2 linked regions of the Macaca fascicularis genome follow. The protein of the gene in region 2 purifies or fractionates together with the protein of the main gene of each other region. This does not show direct contact. Links are inferred from orthologs where the notes say so. Each region holds a gene or a part of one and is shown on either strand. Other genes may lie near its edges.

What was found.
Region 1: the proteins of CCT4 (region 2) and TLE2 purify together in Homo sapiens (affinity purification with mass spectrometry; 3 studies listed by BioGRID and IntAct, with this or other methods). This does not show direct contact. The link is inferred for Macaca fascicularis from reciprocal best matches to the Homo sapiens genes CCT4 and TLE2.

The regions. Positions count from the first base shown.
Region 1 is NC_088393.1:3,729,552-3,733,849, reverse strand, and holds the start of TLE2 (transducin-like enhancer protein 2), read left to right. Parts: upstream 1-1,311; 5' UTR 1,312-1,439; intron 1,440-1,707; exon of another isoform or gene 1,708-2,038; 5' UTR 2,039-2,075; coding exon 2,076-2,099; intron 2,100-2,176; coding exon 2,177-2,274; intron 2,275-2,588; coding exon 2,589-2,652; intron 2,653-3,102; coding exon 3,103-3,147; intron 3,148-4,298.
Region 2 is NC_088387.1:60,032,437-60,036,242, reverse strand, and holds part of CCT4 (T-complex protein 1 subunit delta), read right to left. Parts: intron 3,050-3,806; coding exon 2,997-3,049; intron 1,237-2,996; coding exon 1,147-1,236; intron 1-1,146. UniProt on the Homo sapiens protein: Component of the chaperonin-containing T-complex (TRiC), a molecular chaperone complex that assists the folding of actin, tubulin and other proteins upon ATP hydrolysis.

The sequences.
Region 1 (4,298 bases), on a different chromosome or scaffold from region 2:
AAACGATGGCTTTAAATTTGATAAGGGCTTTTTTTTTTTTTTTTTTTGAGACAAGGTCGTGTTCTGTCACCCAGGCTGGAGTGCAGTGACGTGATCTCTACTCATCGCAGCCTCGACCTCCTGGGGCTCAGGTATCTCCCGCCTCAGCCCCCCAACTAGCTGGGACCACAGGTGTGCACCACCATGCCTGGCTAATTATTTTTTCATTTTTTTGGTAGAGATACAAAAAATGCAAACATTTATTTTGTATTGTCGCTGCGTTGTCCACACTGGTCTTGAACTCCTGGGCTCACACGATCCTCCCTCCTCAGCTTCCCAAAGTGCTGGGGCTACAGGCATGACCCACCACTCCTGGCCCATTGACCTGGCCCATTGATAAGGCTCTTGTGCCCATTACAAAATGGGTTTTTGTAACCCTAACCCTTAGGTACCTTAGGTATTCGTTCATCTAAGGGCACAGGTCCAAGCATGATCAAGGGGCATGGATTTTTCTCTGTTCTGTTTCCAGCTGTGCCCCAGTGTCTACTGCAGTGTGTGGTCCACAGTATGCACTCAGTACATGTTTGTTGATTGACTTAACGAACCTCTCCTGAGGTTTCTCCAGAGAGAATAAGAGCTTCCCACTCCCCAGGTGGGCCTGAAGGATGCTGGCTGGATGTCTGTGGTTTCTGGTCGGGGCTGGAGCCTTTGCCCTGGGTGAGACTTGAGTCTGATGGCAGAGCTGTGGTTCTTCCAGTTCTAAGTGGGACATGGCCCCTGCCTTCAAGAAACCCAGTGTGAGAAGGGAGACAGCGCAGTCCACTGGTGATGGCAGTAGGAATACAATTCCTATCTGTGGAAGTTTGCTCTGTGTAGGGAAATGCTGAGGGCGTTCATGCACCATTTCATTTAAGTGTAGTACCTAGTGCCGTGGCTCCCGCCTGTAATCCCAGCACTTTGGAAGGCGGAAGAGAGAGGAATGAGTCCAGGAGTTCAAGACCAGCCTGGGCAACATAGTGAGACGCTCCTGGTCATCTCTGCAAAAAATTGTAAAATTAGCTGGGCATGGTGGTGCACACCTGTAGTCCCAGCTACTCGAGAAGCTGAGGGGGAAGGATCGCTTGAGCCCAGGAGTTCGAGGCTGCGGTGAGCCATGATCGCCCCACTGTACTCCAGCCTGGGCAACATAGTGAGACCCTGTCTCTGCAAAAAATTAAACACTAAAGATCGCGCACCATCCCTGACCTTTTGCAGAGACTACTGAGGCCCCCAGAGGGTGAGGGCCCCGCCTGATCTGGGAAGCAGTGTTTGCTGTGAGATTCCCTTCCTGGCAGGGCTTCCTGCGAGCGCTTGGCAAGGCTGCGTCGTCCTGACCCTTCCATCTCAGCCCAATGTCACTTGCTCAGAAAAGCTATTTCCGACTCCAGAGGGGCCCCCGCCCTCCGCAAGCCCCCCCAACGGTGGGTAACACCATGTGAATTTCTTCACTGGTGTTTCTCCTCCCGCCCCTCCGGGAGGGGGTGGGGACCCCGTTTTGCGGCACTGGGCGCCTCCCCACTCGGCCTCAGTTTCCCCACAGGCCCAGGGACTGAAGGAAGGGGGCGGGTGCCCGGGGACCCGGACGCGCGGGCGCAGGGAGGGGCGGCGCGCGCGGGGGTGGGCGCGGGGCGGGCCGCGGGTGCGTGGGGGCGGCCGCGCCACCTTAAGGCGGCTCAGCCTGCGGCTCCCGGCCGAGCCCCGCCGGAGGGAGGCGGCTCCGCGCGGGGCCCGCCGCCCGCGCCGCCGCCGCCGAAACCCGGCCGCGGCGCGCCCGACCTTCTGCGCCGGCTGCCGCGGCCGCCCTCGCCGCGCCCCCGCCCCGTCCGCTGCTCCCGCCCGCCCCGCGCGCCCCGGCCCGGGGAGGGGCTCCCACGACCCCGGGCGCGCGCGCTTGGGGGCGCGCCAGGGACTCCAGGGTCCCTTGCCCCGCGCCGCCTCTCCCTCCTCCCTCTTTCTTCGGGCAGCCTCCCCCCCACCCCACTTCAGCCTCCCCCACTCTTGCCGCCTCCATATCATCAAGCTCTGGTGGCGCTTGGAGGGCTTCCGGGATCGGCAGGATGTACCCCCAGGGAAGGCACCCGGTGAGTGGGGGCTGCGGAGAGGGGGTCCCCGGTGTCCTGGAACTCAGACCCTGACGTCCCTCCCCAAACCCCCCCAGACCCCGCTCCAGTCCGGCCAGCCCTTCAAGTTCTCTATCTTGGAGATCTGCGACCGCATCAAAGAAGAATTCCAGTTTCTCCAGGCTCAGTACCACAGGTGAGGGGGGGCCGCCCCAGGGGCCGCGGGAGTTCACCTGGGCGCCGGGGCGGGGCGGGGCCTCCGGGGAGCAGGGCGGGGAGGAGGGGCTCCCAGGGCGCGGGAAAGGCCTCCAGGTGAAAGCGCAGGTGCAGAGGGGTCTGGGGACAGTCAGAGCTGGGGCATTGGGAGCCCAGGAAGGGGCGGGGAGGGACTGGGACAGGAGGTGCTGGGAGGTCTGTAAGGAAGTCGGGAGGGGGAGATCCAGCCCCTCACTTTGGAAGCCGGCCCACATGGGGCGGTTGGGAGCCCCTTGCCCTCTCTCTCCTTCCCAGCCTCAAGCTAGAATGTGAGAAGCTGGCCAGTGAGAAGACGGAAATGCAGCGACATTATGTCATGGTGAGGGCACTTATGATGCCAGGGTGCGGGGAGAGGCGGGCAGGGCTTTGAGCCACGGTGGACTCTGGGGTAGGTCCCTGCCCTTCTCCGAGCCTCGTCTTTCCTGTCTGTACATTGGGCGGCTTTGGGATTTCAGGGTCTCTCTCTCGGAGGGTCCACCCAGCTCTGGGAACAGGGAGACAGGGAGGACCTCTCGCCTGGTGGGGCCAGGGCCTCTGGACGCTTCCTACCTGCCCTGCCTGTCTGGGGAGAGTAGAGGGGGCCCTTCCAGGCAGAACCCCGGCTTTCTCCTCTGGGCTTCTCTTCTGAGACCCCGTGGAGCTGGGGGTGCTCTGCGTCCTGCTGTGATCCCCCGAACCTGGGGGGCTCTTGGAAGACCCTGGCATCACCTGACTGGAGGAGGGCACCCATCTCCACTGCAGAGGTTCTTACTTGGTTTTTCCTTTTCAGTATTATGAGATGTCTTATGGTCTCAACATTGAAATGCATAAGCAGGTAACTGGGTTGGTGTTAAGCGTGTTCAGGAGGGAGGATGGGGGTCTGGAAGCCCTGGGAGGGACCCAGTATGGGCAGCCGGGGCCAGAGCAGACCTAGGGAACACGGGTCTCATCCTGAAATCTCCTCAGAGGTCACAGAGGGCCTATCTGGGACCAGGAAGGCAAATTTCAGCCTCATGGAAGGAAAATGAGTCCCAACTTCTGAAGACAGTAGCCAGCAGTTGAAGCGTCCAGCAGAGAGGCAGGCAGCGGGCAGGGGCCACCAGGCATCCCCATCAAGGAGGGCACATAGCAGAGGCAGGGCAGCCAGGCCAGGGAGGCTGTGGAGGTGACTTCTGTCCCGGGAGGGGGCTGGATGAACACTCTTCGAGGTCCTTTTCAGCCCAGAGAGTCTGAAGTTTTGAGATGGACTCCAGGTTCTGTTCCTGCTTTGAAGCTTCTGAGATTGGTCTCAGTGTGATTGGCTAAGGTTCCGAGATTGTTCTCCAGGCCCTGAATTTGATGCCATGGTTCAGACTGTGACCCCACTTTTCCAAGACAGACCTCAAAACTCTGTGGCTATCTTCAGGGCTTTGAGACTGACCCCAGTGCCATAAGGCTCTGAGCCTCTTCCAGAGCTTCTCAGTGTGATCCAAGGTTCTGAGGTAGACCTCAAGGTTCTGAGATAGACCTCAAGGTTCTGAGATTGACCTCAGGGTTCTGAGATAGACTCAAATTTCTGAAATTGACCTGAGGGTTCTGAGATAGACCTCAAGATTCAGAGATTGACCTCAAGGTTCAGAGATAGACCTCAAGGTTCTGAGATAGACCTAGGGTTCTGAGATTGACCTCAGGGTTCTGAGATGGACTCAAATTTCTGAAATTGACTTCGGGTTCTGAGATGGACCTCAGGGTTCAGAGATAGACCTCAAGGTTCAGAGATTGACCTCAATGTTCAGAGATAGACCTCAGGGTTCTGAGATAGAACTCAAGGTTCTGAGATAGACCTAGGGTTCTGAGATTGACCTCAGGGTTCAGAGATTGACCTCAATGTTCAGAGATAGACCTCAGGGTTCTGAGATAGAACTCAAGGTTCTGAGATAGACCTAGGGTTCTGAGATTGACCTCAGGGTTCTGAGATAGACTGAAATTTCTGAAATTAACCTGAGG
Region 2 (3,806 bases):
TGTGGACATGTGAACTGTTATGCACCATATTCTAATAAGAACACAATAATCATTTGAGAGGAAAAATACTCATTTCCATGGACAAGTATAAGGTGACTTGTGTTTTTTTTTTTTTTTGAGACAGGGTCTCACTTTGTCATCCAGGCTGGAGTGCAGTGGCCCAATCACAGCTCACTACAACCTCTGCCCCTGGACTCAAGTGATTCTCCCACCTCAGCCTCCCAAGTAGCTGAGACCACAGGTGCACACCACCACACCCAGGTATTATTTTTTGTGTTTTCAGTAGAGACAAGGTCTCACCATGTTGGCCAAGCTGGTCTCAAACTCCTGAGCTCAAGCAATCCTCCCACCTTGGCTTCCCAAAGTGCCAGGATTACAGGTGTGAGCCACTGTGCCCAGCTGTTTTTTTTTTTTCCTGGGGTTTCACTCTGTCACCCAGAATGGAGTGTGGTGGTGTGATTATAGCTCACTGCAGCCACAAACTCTTGAGCTCCAACAATCCTCCCATGTCAGCCTAAGGAGTGGCTGGGACTAAAGGTATGCACCACCATGCCTGGCTTGATTTGTGTTTTATCATCACCTCACATCAAAAAGCACAATGTTAGGCACAAGGCGTAAACCTGGGAGGCGGAGCTTGCAGTGAGCTGAGATCCGGCCACTGCACCCCAGCCTGGGCGACAGAGCAAGACTCCGTCTCAAAAAAAAAAAAAAAAAGTATCCTAAAAATATGCCTGTTTAGCACAAAAAGTGTTCATTGTGCTTAAATACGTGATCAAATAAATAAATTTAACTGTTTACCAAATATCAAATACACTTAAAAAAGACTCACCTAGCCAGGCACAGTGGCTCATGCCTATAATCCCAGCACGTGGGAGGCCGAAGCAGGTGGATCATAAGGTCAGGAATTTGAGACCAGCCTGACCAACATGGCGAAACCCGTCTCTACTAAAAATATAAAAACTAGCCAGGCGTGGTGGTGCATACCTGTAATCCCAGCTACTCAGCAGGCTAAGGCAGGAGAACTGCTTGAATTCAGGAGGTGGAGGCCGCAGTGGGTCGAGACTGCACCATGGCATTCCAGCCTGGGTGACAGAGCAAGACTCCGTCTCAAAAAAAAAAAAAAGACTCACCTAAAATTATACTTACCATTCTGGCTGCTGGATGTAACACTTGCATTTGTTTCAGAATGGTAGCACCATCATTTGTAATGGTTACATCACCTTTTCCATCTTGAATCTAGAAAATTTTAAAGTTGTATTTCAGTATGACACCTTAACAGTTTCATTAAACTTTTATATTTCAAAATAGAGAAGTTAATTTCCGTTTGCAAAGTACTGAATTTTAAATTATCTTCCCTTACATTAGCATAATAATTTAAGAATGTGCAATAACAGGCTGGGCACGATGGCTCATGCCTGTAATCCCAGAACTTTGGGAGGCCGAGGCAAGCTGATCACCTGAAGTGGAGAGTTCAAGACCAGTCTGACCCATGGAGAAACCCCATCTCTACTGAAAATACAGAATTAGCCGGGCGTAGTGGCACATGCCTATAATTCCAGCTACTAGGGAGGCTGAGGCAGGAGAATCGCTTGAACCTGGGAGGCGGGGGTTGCGGTGAGCCAAGATCATGCCATTGCCTGGACAACAAGGGCGAAACTTCGTCTCAAAAAAAAAAAAAAAAAAAAAGAATACGCACAACAGTCCAACTTTACAAAAGAAAAAAGTGCCTTTGTTGCAGGGTAATCTAAAAGTGAAGAAACGCAGACACACAAAAAAGAAAAAAAGGAAAAATATTATAAAGAAGCACTTGCTATCTTTAATAATTTCTTATTAATCAGAAGCATGATTTCCACCATGGATGCCCTAAAGGAGTACCATGCAATGCGGTGAACACAATTCTTATAATCAACACAGTAACTTTTTTCTTTTTTTGTCCTACAAAAAGGACAACAGCATTTTTGGGAAGGAAAGATTTTCAAACATCCAGAGAGGAGAATAACCTGTAGTATCATCCAGATGATCCTCCATTATTGTTTTACCCCCAGAGACCCACATTAGAATACAAAGTTACATCCATAAGGAATACTAAACTGAAGTCCCAACACTTGGATTTATAATACTTTCCACTTAACTAAATAATAGATACCTATGTTTGGGTATCTATTGGGTATCATCGTTTAAAAAGCATTAAACAAAGTATGAATTATAGTTTAGTCCTGTTGACTCCAAAGTAATCTCTCCTTCCTCTAAACTCCAGGTACCCTACACTTTTTACTATTTTTTTGGTTTTGGTTTGAGATGGAGTCTTGCTCAGTCACCCAGGCTGGAGTGCAGCTGTGCAATCTCGGCTCACTGCAACCTCTGCCTCCTGGGTTCAAGTGATTCTCCTGCCTCAGCCTCCCACCTCCTGAGTAACTGGGACTACAGGTGCTCACCACCATGCCTGGCTAATTTTTGTATTTTTAGTAGAGACTGGGTTTCACCATATTGGCCAGGCTGGTCTCAAACTCTTGACCCTGTGATCCACCCACCTCGGCCTCCCAAAGTGCTAGGATTACAGGTATGATACACTGTGCCTCACTCACTTTCTACTATTTTTATTTATTTATTTATTTTTTGAGACGGAGTTTTGCTCTTATTGCCCAGGCTACAGCGCAATGGCGTAATCTCGGCTCACCACAACCTCTGCCTCCCAGGTTCAAGCAATTCTCCTGCCTCAGCCTCCCGAGGAGCTGGGATTACGGGCATGAGCCAACATGCCTGGCTAATTTTGCATTTTTAGTAGAGACAGGGTTTCTCCATGTTGGTCAGGATGGTCTTGAACTCCTGACCTCAGGTGATTCACCCCTCAGCCTCCCTAAGTACTGGGATTACAGGTGTGAGCCACCACACCCAGCCCCATCTTTTACTTTTTAAACAGCACATCTAACCCTCCATCAAGGTCTTGCAGTGTGAACAGCAGTGCTCAATTAGTACTCAATGACTCAACTCTTTACCATTTTATCCATTCCTTTTGGTCCAAGGCTTGTTCTAATAGCATCAGCAACCGCTGCAGATGGAAAAAAAAAAGAAAAGAAAAGAAATTAGAACTTTTTTTTTAAGAGACAGGGTCTTACTATATTGCCCAGGGTGGCCTCAAACTCCTTGGCTCAAGCAACCCTCCCACCTCAGCCTCCCAGAATAGCTGGAGGTACGGGAAATCAAGACTCCTTAAAGAGAGGTTTTTCCTTGCAAATGATCATTGTGTTCTTATTAGGATATGGTGCATAACAAATCACGGTGTCCACAGAAGAAAATTCATTGTCTAAAAATAATCTATTGGAAACAGAGTAATTAAAATAATTATTTTAAATGTATGATGCTTCACTTTTTTGTTAGTCAACGTACACAGTATTATTATTTTGAGACAGGGTCTCACTCTGTCTGTCACAAGGCTAGAGTGCAGTGGTGCGATCTCAGCTCACTGCAACCTCCGCCTCTTGAGTTCAAGTGATTCTCCTGCCTCAGCCTCTCGAGTAGCTGCCACCACGCCCAGCTATTTTTTTGTATTTTTAGTAGAGACGGGGTTTCACTATGTTGGCCAGGATGGTCTCGATCTTTTGACCTCCATCTGCCTGCCTCGGCCTCCCAAAATGCTGGGATTACAGGTGTGAGCTACCGCGCCTGGCCTAATATTTGTAATCAGCTTATGGCAGAATACATTTTGAGGATTCATCTCATCTTCCTTCAGATGTCAAAATGGTACAATCTAGTTAGGAGCTCTGAGAATTGCTATTTCCTCCATTCCTTAAAACAGGGCAAGCAGC